Linked DNA regions of Drosophila melanogaster. Each later gene encodes a partner of the first gene's protein in a complex. Each region holds a gene or a part of one and is shown in the gene's direction. Other genes may lie near its edges.

Evidence for each region.
Region 2: the proteins of rdgC (region 1) and Cam are in contact, whole or in part, in a crystal structure (PDB 8ZLW), measured with the Drosophila melanogaster proteins. Residues at the interface, in NP_788546.1 of Drosophila melanogaster: Asp2, Glu3, Asn4, Ala5, Ile6, Arg7, Ala8, Ala9, Ile10, Phe11, Ile12, Gln13, Lys14, Trp15, Tyr16, Arg17, Arg18, His19, Gln20, Arg23; in NP_001246276.1 of Drosophila melanogaster: Glu12, Glu15, Ala16, Leu19, Phe20, Leu33, Met37, Leu40, Met52, Glu55, Val56, Phe69, Met72, Met73, Arg75, Ser82, Glu84, Glu85, Ile86, Glu88, Ala89, Val92, Phe93, Ile101, Leu106, Val109, Met110, Leu113, Glu115, Lys116.

Annotation. Positions count from the first base shown.
Region 1 is NT_037436.4:20,244,433-20,253,499, forward strand, and holds the start of rdgC (retinal degeneration C), read left to right. Parts: upstream 1-3,647; 5' UTR 3,648-3,893; intron 3,894-4,195; exon of another isoform or gene 4,196-4,628; intron 4,629-9,067. Other genes in the region: CG6951 (uncharacterized protein), read left to right, coding at 1-145, 506-706. UniProt on the Drosophila melanogaster protein: Phosphatase required to prevent light-induced retinal degeneration.
Region 2 is NT_033778.4:12,257,514-12,264,561, forward strand, and holds the start of Cam (calmodulin), read left to right. Parts: upstream 1-1,884; 5' UTR 1,885-1,945; intron 1,946-2,518; exon of another isoform or gene 2,519-2,526; 5' UTR 2,527-2,672; coding exon 2,673-2,675; intron 2,676-2,762; exon of another isoform or gene 2,763-3,300; intron 3,301-7,030; exon of another isoform or gene 7,031-7,048. Other genes in the region: Vha36-2 (vacuolar H[+] ATPase 36kD subunit 2), read left to right, coding at 1-366, 442-1,038. UniProt on the Drosophila melanogaster protein: Calmodulin mediates the control of a large number of enzymes, ion channels and other proteins by Ca(2+). Among the enzymes to be stimulated by the calmodulin-Ca(2+) complex are a number of protein kinases and phosphatases.

The DNA of each region.
Region 1 (9,067 bases):
ATTTGATCCCCTGGAAGACAAGAAGATGTACGTGGTCCACGCGGAGGCCAATGCAATCCTGAACAGCAACGGCATGAGTTTGTCTGGAACTCGACTGTATACCACACTATTTCCGTGCAACGAATGTGCCAAACTCATTATACAGGTAAAACTAATATTAACGAAGGAAGCCGAATATAGGATTTCTGTTCTATTATTTGAAATGCAACTTTAATATTTTCATATGGCAGCTGTATAATTTAGTCGTCCTATTTTGATAAAATGAAAAACGAATTAATATATGGAAAAACAACGGTTGTGTACAAAATTACACCAATATATGATCACAAACATGGAAGCACAATCTTTCCAATAGTTTCACGGCTTCAAAAAGGTTTTAAGTTTTTCGTTAAAACGAAAGGACGACCAAACGGACGGCAGCTTTATGAACTCATCTTCTAAAATTGATCAAGAATATATAGTACATACATATCATAACATATAAATTAACCTATTTGTATTCCAGGTGGGCATATCTCAGGTGCTATATTTGTCCGACAAATATGCCGATAAGCCCACATATCGTGCATCCAAGCGGATGCTGGATGCAGTGGGCGTGGAATATAAGCGACACATCCCCCAGAAAAAAACGATCACCATTGATTTTGACACCTTCCCGGAAGAAGATCCGAATGCATCCCTGGGACTAAACGAACTCCATTTGTAATGTACTAATACAATCTTAGCTATCTTGACAACTTTTAATGTGTTTAAAGTAAATTTGACGTGATCGGACTAAATATGTAGACAAATGATAAATAAATTTAATAGCATGCTAATTAAGTTATACTTAGTTTGGCAGTACTAATATAAATAAAAAAATACAGTTTAACTAAAAAGCAAAACGTAAAACGATGTTCTTTTCTATCTGTGAGTCAGAAAAATGCTTCGGAAAATGAGTTCCCTGTAATCGATATTAAAATCAAAATCCAGTAAATCATTGAATCTGACCACTTCCTTTGACGTTTGTTCAAATATGTTCGTAAAAGTATAGTCAAAATCAAAAGCAGAACTTATCTAGATCCCAAAACGTACATATTCTAACCTAATAGGGAATAAAAAACAATAGTTTTTCGTTGAGTATTGCTCCTTTTTTGCAGAGCATAAACGATTAGACGCTTCATTTTATCCGCACGCAAAGATACTTAAAATGTTTTTTAATTAGTACCCATTTGGGAAGAGTGTTCACTTGCACTAATTGACTTGGCAAACAGAAGACTGTCAGGTGAGACTCTTAGCATGCACAGGTGTCCACCGGAGACCAAAAGCGCCATGGAAGTGCTCTACTCAGGTAAAAGTACATGGTATTTTCATATTGAATCTTGGAATTAAATCCCATAATTCATTCCTAAAAAGTTAAATTAATAATTATACTGATCGAAAATTAAAAACAGGGTATATGTGTAATGGAAACTACTCTGTGCCACTTTATAGCTCCGTAATTAAAGGACCTTGAAAATTCTATTGCTGGCCCACACATTAAATTAATTAAGTTAGCCACTTTTGAACTTTGATGTTGTGTTGGCTAAAAATTCGCATGCAGCCATTTTAAATACCGGGCTGAGCAAAATGTTTATGGGATGTTTTTCAATGGCATGCCAGCACGAAGGAGCTCCCACCTGACCAACCAGCCAACCAGGCCATTCAGGTGAGAGTGGCGTGCGGCCAACCGGCCAACCGGCCATTAGCACTGGAATATGCAAAACAGTGCGCGAAACAGGACGAGGATGCCAATAAGAAGAACAGCGAGGATACTCGACCTATCGGAAATCGCCGAGTGACCCTTACTAGCCTCCATGCACTATTGTCTGCAGGCTGCATTGAAACGTGTCCGGCGGATTTCAATATCGGGCCACAAGGTAAGAACCGGTTATGCAGAGAAGATGGGTCAAGCTGGCTGGTAAAGTAAAGTGTTTTATTGTTGAGGTGGAAAACGAAGAATTAGAGTTTTCGTCTATTTGACTTACATTATTCTTTCCTACACCTAAACTAACTCAACAATTCCACTAGCTAAAATCTTTCCGGCTTAAAGAGTTCTGAAGAAGTGGAAGTCTAAGGAACAACACGGACGACCATCTAATCGTGTATCTTAGGCATGTAGAATCAGGGGATTAGTATCTGAAAGGCTGTGTATCTTCATCTGGCCCGGCTTCTTGTTTGTATTTGTATGCATAGAATGCAGACAAAGTTTACCAATTGCAACGGAAACTTGTGCCGCACGCACATCTGCTAACTGAATTTGAAGTGGGACCGAGCATTCCGTAATCACTAATAGCAGGTTAGCCGCTCTGGGCCCTAATTGCCATTAAAGTTAAAGCTACGACCAACGAAAACCCCAAAATCGTGAAACCACCGTGAAGGAGCAAGGGGACAGCACTCATTTTGGGGCTTTCGTGAGTTTCAGCTACAAAATCCCCTCGAGGCCGGAGCCCCAAAATCACACAGAATGGCCAACGGAAGGCTTGGCGGCACTTGGACTATTAAAACACATACGAGTATACGACACCCCAAAGGCCATGGAACCGAGCAAATAATCAATATAACTACAAGAACGGAACCATAACAGAGCTCTGGGTTTTGTGTAACGATAGTGGAACATATCAACAGAATATCAAGTCACACGGCGCACTTGTTGGTTATAACCATCGATCCTCTTCTTTTCTTTTTGCAAACAGGTGCCAGAAATGCTCGGCTGAATATTGCAAAATTCATTAAATAGATAATTATAATATTACATCTGCAATTGATTCCAAGATATTATATCCCATGAATCTTGTACATATATGAAGTAGTTTTTTAAGCGTATTTAAGTCTATCATTTTCATATTACTATTTTTATCATAAATTTTAAAACTTAAAAAAAGGAATAATATCGAATGATGAAATACTTTTTCGTTTGTTCAACAATTAAAGATGTACATACGTATCTTGAAGAAGAAACCCCTTTAATCTAAAAAAAATCTGTCTTAATGGCTTTTTGTTGATTCCCCTATTTAGTATTACTTCTTCTTTCCCAAACAACCAGCATCAGCCGCACGTCTGGTTGAAGTTTTAACTGGAAGATGCATATCATAAATTCAAAATGCAAACACGAGGACGTTATCAAACTTGGCATCTTTGGATTAGCATCGCTGCTCTGCTCGCTCTCTGGGTTGCACAGAAAGAAAAATATTGATTGATTTCACAAATGGCTGTTATTCAAATACTAACCATTTACATTTGGTTTCATATTTATGTTGCCTTTTCCTTTAATACTAATTACGCAGATGAAACAATTGCGAAATTCGTTAACAATTTAAGGAATAGATATACCCGTGCTATTTCCAGTGTAGATGAAATGGATAGAAGAGAGCGAGAGAGCCGTGCGCAGCCTCCGCTGCAAAATGAACGGGAATGGCAATGAAACGGGGCAATCAGCTGATGCGGCCATCGCTCTTTGTTTTGCTTTCGGGCAGCATGGCGATGGCGGCGAATATGGCGAGAGTGGGAGCGAGTGAGAGGTCGGCGGCGACGCCGGCCGTGGCAGCAGCAGAGCCTTTGGCAGCGACGGAGGCAGCAGCGGAGGCCAAAAAGGATTTCCGAGCTTGTGGCCTGCGTTCAGTTTGTAACGGTATTCCACGCGCCACGGACGCTCGAATAACAAAACGTCGCGCTCCCGACGATCCGTACCCGTACACCAGTACGTATACGTAATGCTCTCCGCACAGAACGCGCTATTTCCGAACCAAAAGCAGCATATGCCTTTGCCATCCCTCCTCTCCCGTCTTTTGTGTTCTTCTGGTTATATCTGTCACCGCGAGAATTTTTGTGTGTGGCTTCATTTAATGCCTTTTGCCGCCTTCTAGATGACATATGTATGTATATGTACATTTGTATATGCATGCATGTACATATCTTATTGTCATCGCTGTTTATCTCTCTTTTGGACCGACCAATTTTCTGTGTTTGTTTACGCTCACGCCTTCATGTTATGGCCACTTGTGCCGCTGGCACGGAATGGTCGCATCCTTAGTGCCGACAGAACTTTCCAACCGAATGGCTTTTTTTATTCGCGCTCTTCCGTTTAGTGCGTCGTTTTGCTAAATTACTAACAAATTCCACGCATTAAATCGGATCAGCAAAAAAAAAGTAAAATCGACCGGCGCGGCGGATGGGAAACACTCGAAAATATACTCACATACAAATGTACATATATGCGAAAGAACATGCATTTCCATACGTTCTATACACACATGTATAAATAGTACTGCTATCAAATGTACACCGAAAAGAAAAGCTGTATTCTATGAATTCAAATAATGCAAAATAAGCTGAAGGGAGAGTTCGTGTTTCTACTTCTTATTTTAAGATATTTTAGCATATTCCATATATTCCAGTCAATTTTTTTAAATGATCCATTAGAACAATTTACAAAATAAAAACTGCTACAAACTGAAAATGTTTTTAGAAAAAAATGGTGTCACTTTTTCGGCCCAAGATATATTTCGTGGTTTTTTAACTTATGTTGCCAAAGAGAAGGTCTGGTTGAATGGAAAAAATAACACGGAATGAAATCGAAGGCGATGACAGCTAGCAGACAAAGAAATGAGGCAAGGAGCAAATTAATAATATATAAACGATTCCATTACAATCCAGAGGTGTTTGCCATATGAATTACTCATGATATTTTGTGTTTCACACGAGTAAGCGCAATATTTGTCTAGTCCACTTATCCATTTGCCTGTTCGTATGTTTATTACGTATACGACAAGTATTCTGCTAAGATACAAGTATGTATATTTCTTACCCATTTGGCGGTGTGAAAACTTTTTTCGAAATTGAGGACACACAAGTGCAGTGTTTTTAAAACAAACAAGGAAAAGCAATAACAAAAGACTAAGCAGAGCAGACTAGGGGAAAAATGTAAATTAAAAGCATTGGGCTACTCAAAGGTGATGAAATTTCAGAGAAATACTTTAAGTGACTTTAGTGAAACTATCATTTGTACAAATTTATTTAAGCAAACAACATAAAGCTTTTAATATATTTATCGAATTTCTATTCAAGCTTAGACAATTTCTTGATGTTTGTTTGAACTATTATTATTGAATTTTTCGTTACATTCAAGGCACATTCTCTATTTCAAGAATATTTCTAGAATCATTGGTTTACCTTATTGGCCCAATCAATAGTATGTAGATTTCTACGGCCAATTTGTATAGCAATTAAAAGAAGAAATTCTGACATTCCATACCCGTAAACCCAACTTAACTTGAACGCAATTTGTTATGATACAAGAATAACACCGAAACATGGAAGTGTTCATAAAAACAAATGCACGGACACGTTTGTATGTATGAATTGAATGGGGGATTGAATCCGAGTTGGAATTTATTAGGTCCCTTACCGTGTGCCCGCTTCCTTGTACCACATTCATAATTTGGGGCCACCTGCCCACTCGGATTTGGGCCAATTGGCGGATGGCGGGTGGCGTACGGCTGGAGGATTAGCAACCGCCCAACTCCTGGAGGTTGTAAAAGTGACTGAATGGGAATGAGTTTTATGTGCCTCACAGGCAACAAATCTCGATGACGTCTGGCATTTGATTTCGAGCCTTTTTTCCCTTCGCTCTTTGTTTCCTTGGGATTTAGTTGCTTTTATTCGTGATTTCGTTTATTTTTCCCACAGTTCGGTTGAGTTGCTTTTTATTTTTTCGCACGAATTCCCGGCGGTTTCTTTTTTGGTAGTCGCACGCCAGCAGCCCCAAAAATTCTCACCACTTCCGATTAAATTTTTTTTGTTATGGCTTTTCCGTTTCCGTATCCCCAGTTTTCCACGGTCACCGAAAAACTCGTAAAGAGCAGCTCCTCGGAGTTCTTGTTTCTGGTGTTTTCTTAGCACGAAATGCCAATTTAGAGTCATTTAAATTGGGTAGAAAGTTGCGGCAAGAAAAGTCTGCCCACAGTCCACAATGTTGGCTCGAATTAAGTCGGGTGTTCGAAAGTTTTGTTGCCAGTCGACGGAAATCGGACTAAAACCGAAAAGCAATTAACTTAAGGCTGATAACCAAGATGCTTTTGGTAATAACATACATAAGTACGGATAAATTGGAAAATAATTACAAGTTTTGGGAGATACATCTTCCTGAAATTTAAGCTTTAAAAGTATAAAAAAGTTATTTACTGCCATAATTTCTTATGTTTATTATTTATTACTTTAGATACGCACACTCTTACCACGCCTGTATTGTATTTTCAAATGAAATGGCAAATTTTTAAAGCTGTACCAAGATATATATATTAAGGTGTATTTAATTTAAAGTTTTGAAGTTTTAGGCTTGGGATTGAAGTAATAACAATCCAATTAGTTGCATCAAACCAAAAAGCAGAAGGGTATTAGAAGAATAGCGGATGGAACTTAAACCAATCCCGCACGATGAGTAACCGTCGCTAAATGCGTTTACCCAAACAAGATAAGAAATTTAAAACTCTTAACGAAAATCGATTAAATTAAGCAGTTTAGCTTCCATCCCCCGAGGAGCCGAGGTGCCGTCATTTTCACGCCTGATTTGTTAACCAAAACGATGGCATAAGGTCGGTATTCGGATACTTTTCCATGGCAATTAAGCCGCAGTGTTGGCTCACATCTTTTGCGCTACACTGGGAGAAAAGCTCTCTCCTCGCCATTCCTCCTCAAACACATTTGCACCTACTCGCACGGAAACCATAAACGTTTCCCACTTTTAGACTCGTTTTACAGCTCTTGAAATATATCCTTTTCATCGAATCCTTCTCTTAAATTTCATAGTCATCGTGAAGAAAGGAATATAAAAGCTTTATTTCAGAACCTCAATCAACGGATTGCCTCATAAGCGATGCAATCGAGCTCAAGCATATTTCAAATATACTCTTTCTTAAAGTGCCAACTCATCTTTTGCATATATGGTATATTCTTTTTCGAGTGTATTTGGTGTGAATAAATCATGTTTCTTACAGCTGGCTAGAAATTCTAGTCCATATGGCTGTAGGTGTCGGCGCCCAACGCTCAATCTGCGTTAATTCCCAATTTGGTTTATAAATAAAAGAACAAATCGGTCCTTAACGATGACGAGCATCGGCATCCGAGCTGACATCATTCCAAAGTCGTTAAAACTGCCGCCCTGTTAATGGCTACCCCAAAGGAGATTTCGGGTAGTAAAAGTGCAAAATTGAACGGAACACCTTTATGGGCAGCGCGTGAAGCGGCAATAGGTCCTTGCAGGTCCTTCGGATCCCTACCTATTACCATATATATACAACTAGTACCACGTGCCCTCTTACAAATTGACTGGGGCAACTTAATTAGTAGCGTAGGCAAACTAAATTACCTGTCGAAGAATTTGAGTGAATCAACTTCACGACTGACCTTGTGAGTGCCCGTAATTAGCTCAACAATTTGCAACGAAAAGAATGAAATCAAATTAGCAACACACTCTGCGAAATTGGCACTAATGCAAACTGTTTTTAATGCTTTTATCTCATGAAACAGAATGCAGTTTTGGGCATCATTTGCTGGCTACCAATTTAAAATGTCGAAACTGACAACGATGATTTCAAGGGAAGTGTTTTTAATAGAAAGAATAAATATTAAGTGCTATGCAATCACGAAACAATAAACGAGCATATGAATATTGACATATTTATTGTTCAACTTTATTGATAATTGAATAGATGCATAAACTCATCCAGAAAAATTGGGAACGACAAAAAACCGAGCTTACTCATTCTCGTGAAATGAAACTTTCTCAATTTCGAGACGAAAACGATCTCAATGCTGATATTGATATATGATATATGATATATGATATATGATATATGATATATGATTGCTCTCATTTGCAATATGAGAATGGTTTAATCTCGATCTAAGTATTTGAGCATGTTTCGATTTTGGCTAGATTCTGAAAGCGACATACTCAAACCAAGATCGTTATAAAGCGGTTTTTCTCTGAATGAGTACTTAAAATAATAAAGTACTCAGTTGAAATACGTTAAATTAAATTTCCCTTTGGGAAAACAAAGGCCAATCGAAATGGTTTATCTTTCGTCTCCAATGTGCTGGGTTTCAACACCCCCCTCCCCCCAAATTTTAGATATTAAACAAATGGCTGTTTGCCCGTACATTTATGCAGCCACCGGCTCTCACCGACTTGAAACATTATCTTCAGTAAATACTAACTTAATTGCTGCCGGACTCCCATTCCCGTAGGCGATGTTTGCGGAACTGAAATGAACCGAAATGCGGGCAAATTTACTGATTGTCACACAGGCTGACGTGCAATTTATCGTAATTGAGTCAGGGCAACAATCATTTTTTGATCGCTCCACACACACGCACACACACTCGCACACACTTGGGGAAAATGCTGGAAAGTGGGTGGGTGGTAAGAGTTGGGTGATGTCGAGAAAACCTCGATGACTTGGCAGGACCCATTACGGCCAGTGTCCGTTTCCTGCTCTTTGCCATGGGATTAATGGACAAATAACGCATTCACGTCTGTAAATGTGCCGGCGGATAATCCCATTATCTCGGAGTCTTGACCCCACACATCCGGACTTCGACTGGAACGAACGGAAGGCGGAAATTGGCCACTAGGCTGCGGTAATTGAAATAAATCGAGTTGGCCATTGGCCCTCAAAAGTAGGCTTCGAATCGATCAACTTGGCCTAAAAACCTTTCTCGTCACTGCCAACTGCATTAACTAGGTTATATCTGCGGGTTCTGGGTCCAAAATGGATGTTTTTGTTTAGGCTGAAAAGATGATAATTCTATTTCGAAGTTGTCCATCTTGGCACTATTAAAACAAATTCAACAAAAATTCAACAAATTCAACAAATTGGCATATGCTAGCTTACTTAAGTTTTTATACACAGTTTTTAAGATATTTAATATTCATAATAGGCTTTCTCTGAATTATATGAATTGTAATCAGTCTAAACTTAATCATTTGGCTTAAGTGGTAGTTTTTAAGGAAGAATATTATATTATTTTGTTTTATTATTAAATTGAG
Region 2 (7,048 bases), on another chromosome or scaffold:
CAGGACATGCACGGCGATGAGGCGATGCGCAATGCCATATTCTCGATGGCAAAGGCCAATCTTCTGGGCGCCGATTTCAAGCCGCAGATGGTAAGCCGCAGCCACGTGGCAACCGTATCGCTACGCCGCACGGAGATCAAAATTGTGGGCGTCAAGCTGAACACCCTGGAGCTGGAGACGAAGGGCGTGGGCGCTTTTCCGCTGGCTGGTCTCAGCTGTGGCGGTATGCAAGTGAGCCGAATCAGGGACTCCTATACGAAGGCACTCAAGGCACTGGTGGAGTTCGCCTCTCTGGAATACCAAGTGCGAATGCTGGAGGCAGCCTCGTTGCAGACCAACATGAGGGTCAATGCTCTGGAGCATGTGGTAATTATAATTAATTCATATGATCCATATGTTATCATGGATAATCTTCAATAAATATCACTTTGTATCCGCAAGGTAATACCCATCCTGCAAAATACCTATAACTATATATGCGGCGAGTTGGAGGAGTTCGAGCGCGAGGATTTCTATCGCCTGAAACGCTCCCAGGCGAAGCAGCTGGAGGCCAAGATGGCCTTCACCGAGCTGATCAAGACCAAGAACATGACCGACGAGGAGCTGGAGACCTACATAAAGCGAAACATAAATCAGACGCGTCCTCCAGCGGCCGACACACCCTTCGATCAGGAGCAGTTCGAGGAGCGTGAGGTGAAGCGGCGCATGCGGGAGGCCCGTCTGTCCCTAAAGCAGCGCCGCGAGCAGGAGAGAAAGGAGGCCATCAAGCGGGGCGAGCCCCCACCGCCCACATCCTTCATCACCACCCACGGAGCCTCGTTGAGTTTCGCTGGTCGCCAGCGGGATCCGCGAGCCAGCAGTGGTGATCTGTACAGCACCAAGCGGATGCTCCTCTCCTCCGGACCGGAAAGGAAGTCCGCCAGTAATGTGACCGAAAGGAAGTCCGATACTCCTCCGCGTAATAGCCAGGAAACTCAGCGCAGATCCAGCCAGATGTCGAAAGATGTCGTAAATGAAGATCCACCCGAAGAAAGTTAGTTAATCGGACTCACAAATCCAAAATCTAAAGTTGTCCAAAAATTCTTAATTATTTTTAATATGGTGTGCAAATAGAAGATTTATTTTAGGTGATCACTTCGAAAAAGTATAGCAATTTCAGTCGAAAATCGAAAAATATATGGAAAAATTTACCGTCATTGTTATTAATAACGTATACGTATGTAATTTCTGTCTGCTGTATAATATACATGTGTATGTGTGTATGTTAATTCCCCATCATATGCAATGGCAAATGCTATATGTTTGCAACAGCTGACTTTACAGTTCGTTTTTTTTTAACATCGAATGTTAGTTTAACATTTACGTTAACATTTATCCGTTAAGAATAAAATTTGCAACATTTTGAAGTATATTTTTGTCAATTAAAATTTGAACTTAAAAATCGAAGAACTGTTTACATAAACATAAATCACAACCGGTAATTAGAATAAACGGACAATAAAAAAGACATTTGTTTATATAGATGTACATATGTGAGTACATACATAGTTGATTCATTTTTTTCTATTACTGCAAGGGCAAACCTATGCATAAGTTTATTTTTGCAGAAGCTAGCTTCCTATTATTTATAACTTTAGTTACCTGTAGTATGTTGATACAATTTTTGTACACACCTATTTTCGCGAAAAGCGCCGGCGCGACCGTTACAACGGCGAAATCAAACTTATTTTCGCTTTACGAAGGTGAGTGGATAAGCAACAGAAACAAACACATGCAGACGCTGCCGCTGCAAAAGCGAACTTACCCGGTTCGTTCTCGCGAGAGCGAGAGCGGTTATTGCTATTGCTGCTGGCAAAATAAAACCGTATATATGGCGACGCAGCGCTATTTTGAACACAAAGTTTTGAGTCGTCGACCGTTGCGGACGGAAATTCAGATTAGGATCGTGAGTTGTCAGAACAAACAGACCAGACATTGCATATAGAGAGCAGTATTGGGCCAACAAAAAAAAAAAAAAAATACAAAAAAAGCGAAAAGAGCCCACACCCAAGCACCAGGAGCTGCGAACGTTTCGCGGAAAAGCCAATTTCTCAGCGCCAGCCAAAAATCAAGAAAACCAACGAGCAAAAAATTAAACAAATATCTTTATAAAAACCGAATTCGAGCAACTCTTATATGTATTAGCTCTCCCCGCCATATATCTACTATATAAACGAGAATTCTGCCGTGTGCGCGCGTGTGTTTGGCATATTTCGCACAATAGATGAAAAAAAAAACGAATGAAAGCCACAAAAAAATAAAGAAGAAACGCAAGGCGAAAATTTGTATTAAATTCGGCTGAAGCAACAACACTAAAGAAATTTCAGAAACTGCCACGGCGAGAAAAAAAAGCGTCGGCGTCGGTGCTTTGGACGGACGCTTTTCTTTCTCTCCAAGCTGGCAGTAGTTTTTCTCCTCAGCCTCTTCCACCTCCAGTTGACCCCCCGAAAGTAATACCCAACAAACCTCTTCTTGCTTCTTTTGCAGTGTGTTAATTTAGTAAAATATAAAGTTAACCGCGCGTTCCGTAATTCCACTCACACACATACCAACACCCAAGCAGCAGCAGTAGCCGCAGCGGATTAAAACTTCGTCACTCTAGCAACAAACAGAAAAAAAAAACACCTACAAAAATGGTAAGTTTATGGGGCTGGAGAACATGTGCATCTTTATTTTCTGTTTACACAACCTGCGGCCATCATTTTCCATTGAAATTTCCACAGTTTTTGCGAAAAATCAAAGTCAGACAGCGACCCCCAGGGCTATTGCCATTAGTGCGAGCGGGAGGAGCGAATCGCTTCCAATTAGACGTTGTTTATATGGTTTTAACGGCTTTTCACACACACACACTCGCTACACACATCCCAGCACACCAAACACCCCGTCGAAAAGCAGCTGTCCCCGGGAAATTCGTTTACATTTTGCACCCCAAAAATATATCGCCTCACGGGTAGAAAAAACCAGTTTTTTCAACAACCCAATATCGTTGATTTAGAAACAAGAAATTGCGAACACCATGCAACCCCTTGAAAATATGGTAGTTTATACCCCTTTCACAATGAAACATAATCAAAATCCATAAAACTGCATTGAGAAAAAGTGAATGCAATCATTTGAAATTAAGTTTATACTTAAACTAGTATATTTAAGCTGCAAGATTTTCATGTTCTTAACCTGACTTAATCAAATGTTCAACTTTGGCCCCTAGGGTCACAGAAAACAAGCAGCACAATTAAATAGCAATGCCAATAGCAAGAATTTACACACATGTCACGTCACTCGTCAAAATTATTATTTATTTTATCAAGGCTGTCGCACACGGAATGTTGACGCGATCGGGTTCGCCCTATAATAATTCCATGACGTTCGGGTAGAAATACCCCTGGAAACCCAATCAGGCGTGGAAAAGTGGAAACTCTTATCAGCATCTCGAGCAACACCTCATTTTCGAAGCCCCCCTGCTTGCCCAACCCACCACCACCATTTGGGATCATAAATCAATGTGATTTTAGCCAATTTGTTGAGCATTTATGCACACACACACTCGCATTCCTACATAGACGCGTTGCCATCGGCACTTTTATCAGCAATTTTTCAAAGATCCCCGCAAATAATAGAAAAGCGCCCTCCATTTTGCTTATCAGTGGAAAATGTGTGAATATATATTGATGATGAACAACAAAGTCGCCGGTCCCGGCATTATTGGCCTCTCCTCTTTGCCCCGCCGTTCGTTGTTCGCTTGTTCTTTGCTTTCTGGTTGTATTTTTTATTTACCGCACACTTGGCCGCAAAAATTGAGGTTAGACACGGCCCCATGGAAATGGTGAAAAAATTCTTTAGAGGCATTTCTCCTGCTCTTGCGCTCAGCTTAACCGTTTCGACGCTCTCTCGCATAACCGTTTCACACACTTTCTCGTCTCTCTCTATGTGCAATTATTTCGTTTGCGTTATCAGTTCCGTTTTGTGCTGCGTCTCTCTCTTTCCGTTTCTTTCAGCATTTCATTTTTTTTTGCGCCTTGCGCTTGTCACTTTTATCGGCGCCTGCCTTTTCTTGTTTTCTTCCATAACCGTTTCATTTGCCGCATTGCGGTTATTTTGCTGTTTCGCCTTCGCCTTGGTTCGTCCGCTTCGGTCGTTCATTCGTTCGGCTCCGCGTATTCGTATTCGTGTGCGTGTGAGTGAGCGTATGGGTGTGTGTGTTGGCGGCTGCCTGTTCCACTTTGCCTTTTCGCGCAAGAATTTTATTGTAACGGCACAGGCGAACGATGGGGGAGGAGGAGCGCTGCAAATGAAGAAAAATTCCTGCTAGACGCCGCCGCTTAACCACATAATCCAATTTTCTTGCCGCCCTCTTTGCGCTTTCTTCTCTCGTTCGTTTGCTTTCCTCTGCGCTTTTTGATAAGAAAGCCCCACGCCCACTGCGATGCCCACACCCGCGCCACACCTTCTTTCAGCCTCATCTGGTGTCGCCTAATTTAATTAGCGATTTTACAGCTCACGCAGAATGCAAACAGCTTTTAATTAAAATATATCGCATCGCTTTCTACGTGGCCAATTTGTTTCAGTGATTCAACCAACGCTGCTAACTTGGCCCAGAAGCAAACATTTGCCAAGGGTTTTACTGACTGATCTTCAAAGTTTGTTGATCTTTAGCTCGGCTAATTATGAGATACGTTTGTCTGTATATCTTATTTGTTTCCGTTGAAAATGAGCCAACATTCATATAAATTTCCATGAGTCACTGTGTTCCTGGGCTGACTTCATCATATGATCATATGGCCTATGATGAATGCCCGATGATATGTGTGTGTGTCATGTTAATAATGGCAAATGACTGGCTTATGGCTCAGTTAGCACAGTTGTTTGGATCCCGGTGCGAATGCACTTAAATTGTACCCAAAAACCAAGCTCTCAATCTAACCGTCATTCATAAAACCAAACTAAACTCCATGAAACCGGTTGAGACCGGCAAAAAAAAAAAAGCGTCGGCTATACAACGGTAAACCCGGCAAACTTGGCTTTAACATAAAGCCGCATAATTTCAGCCAAGACCTGTTTTAATGTTGTATTTAACTGTCAAACTCATTGGAAGAAATAGTTTTATTCAGCAGAACTCGTTTGTGAATTTATAAATGATTCAAGCCCAAGTGTATTAAAATTATTGTTATCAAAATGTATTCATAAGTATGAATAATATTTGATATCATATTATTTGCAAGTGAAAAGTGATGATCTTGAACTAACTACTATACAATGACCCATCCAATGAGTCACTACCTTAAAAAATGACGGACAAATCCCGATAAATATACGCACAGCTTGAGTCCTGATCCCCCAGGCATACATTTTCGGAAGGCACTGTATTTGCCTTGGATGTGGAAGCTTCCTCGGGACGTCGTGGGCGTCTGATTGTGCATACAAATGGATTACCAATTAGGCATTAGCCAGCCCCCCACTCGATTAACGACCTCGCCCGATTGACTGCCATTAATGGATATCATCGGTGGGTGGGGTTTTGCTCATGTTGTTGATTGCAAATGTCGCCATTTGAAGACAGGAGGGCTTCAATTTGCTTTTCAACAGATTGGGGATCTGCATTTCGATGGGTGTTTCTCATTCGGTTTCTGTTTCTGGCTTAGTCATGCTTGCCAATGACATAACCCAGTTGAAAAGCGTTTTATCTGCCCCAGAGTACGCCAAGATAAGCTGGGCAAATTCAATTGAACGCCAACGCGACAAAAAGTGCAAATAAAACAGGTGCCACCAACGCGTTGCCGTTACCAAATTTGCTTGTATTCGCTGTTTAAACTCACCGAAATTCCCCCGATTAGATAAGGTCAAGCAGGGCGCTATAATTCCAATGCCAATTGCTGATTTGGCTTAAAGCGAGTGGGTTTCTGTTCTGTTCCATTTTCCTTGCCGAACGGAAGTTGTCCATAAAGGCTGGTCAACACGACATGTCTGAGAGCCAAGTTTGTTGTGCCATTTTTCAGATTTGGGGTATCTTTTGGCCTTCAAGTTGAGGTGCCCAATTCGGTGGTAACCAAGGCGATTGATTAGATAGGGCGAATTGGTTCGTGCTAGGGAAATTCACATAAATTAACTTGGTTTTCAACAGTTCAGAGTAATAAGTATAGACTAGATTGGCAGTAGCTATTATTAAACGAAGCAAATTAAGTTGTTATTACATAGGATCGCTCAACAAACAACTCTATATATATAGTTTAGTATAGTTTCCATATAGCAGAGCTTTCAGCAGTTATCAGCTTGAACAAATATATATAAATATATAGTATAAGTCATCCTATGACGCAGGCGAAGTTTGCTTTTGCATTTTTGCTTCATGATTAATAACAATTATCGCAATTCAAACCGCAGGCCTTATATTATACTCGTTAAATTCTTTGGCTTATCGCCGTAGAGCGAGTTGCACAAATAAACAATCATTTTCGGCCGTAAAACAATAACAGTAACAGTAATAGGTAGACGGGAATTTAATGTGCCCGCTTTTTTGCTTTTGGTGCTGCAACATTAGACCCTGAGAATCGTTTTTGGCCAGAATGACCGACCGGCTCCTGTGAAACTGACAACTCGCACGTCTCTTGTCACATATATGTATGTATATATGTATGTGCATCATTCGCATGACAATAATAAATTTTGGTTTTGGGTAACGCAGCCATCTCCACTCCTCGGTTCTTTGGAGCTTCCCCCCTACGGGGTCTTTCTTGATTATTCAGTCGCCGCTGACGTCAGGTTTTGTTGATTCAGCGGAAACTTAACACCTTTTTCAAGACACCAGATATATATATATATATGTAGAAATATTATAAACATACCTAGATACAGATACAATTGTATCTGGACTTGCCTGGCGACGGGCGGGCAAACAATACGCAAAATTATTCAAATTAAACACAATTGTTCTCTCCCTTCTCGTCTTTTGTTATTCCCGATTGTGTTCACTTGGGTAGTTTTTTGTGTTGACATTGAAATTCCATCGAGATGC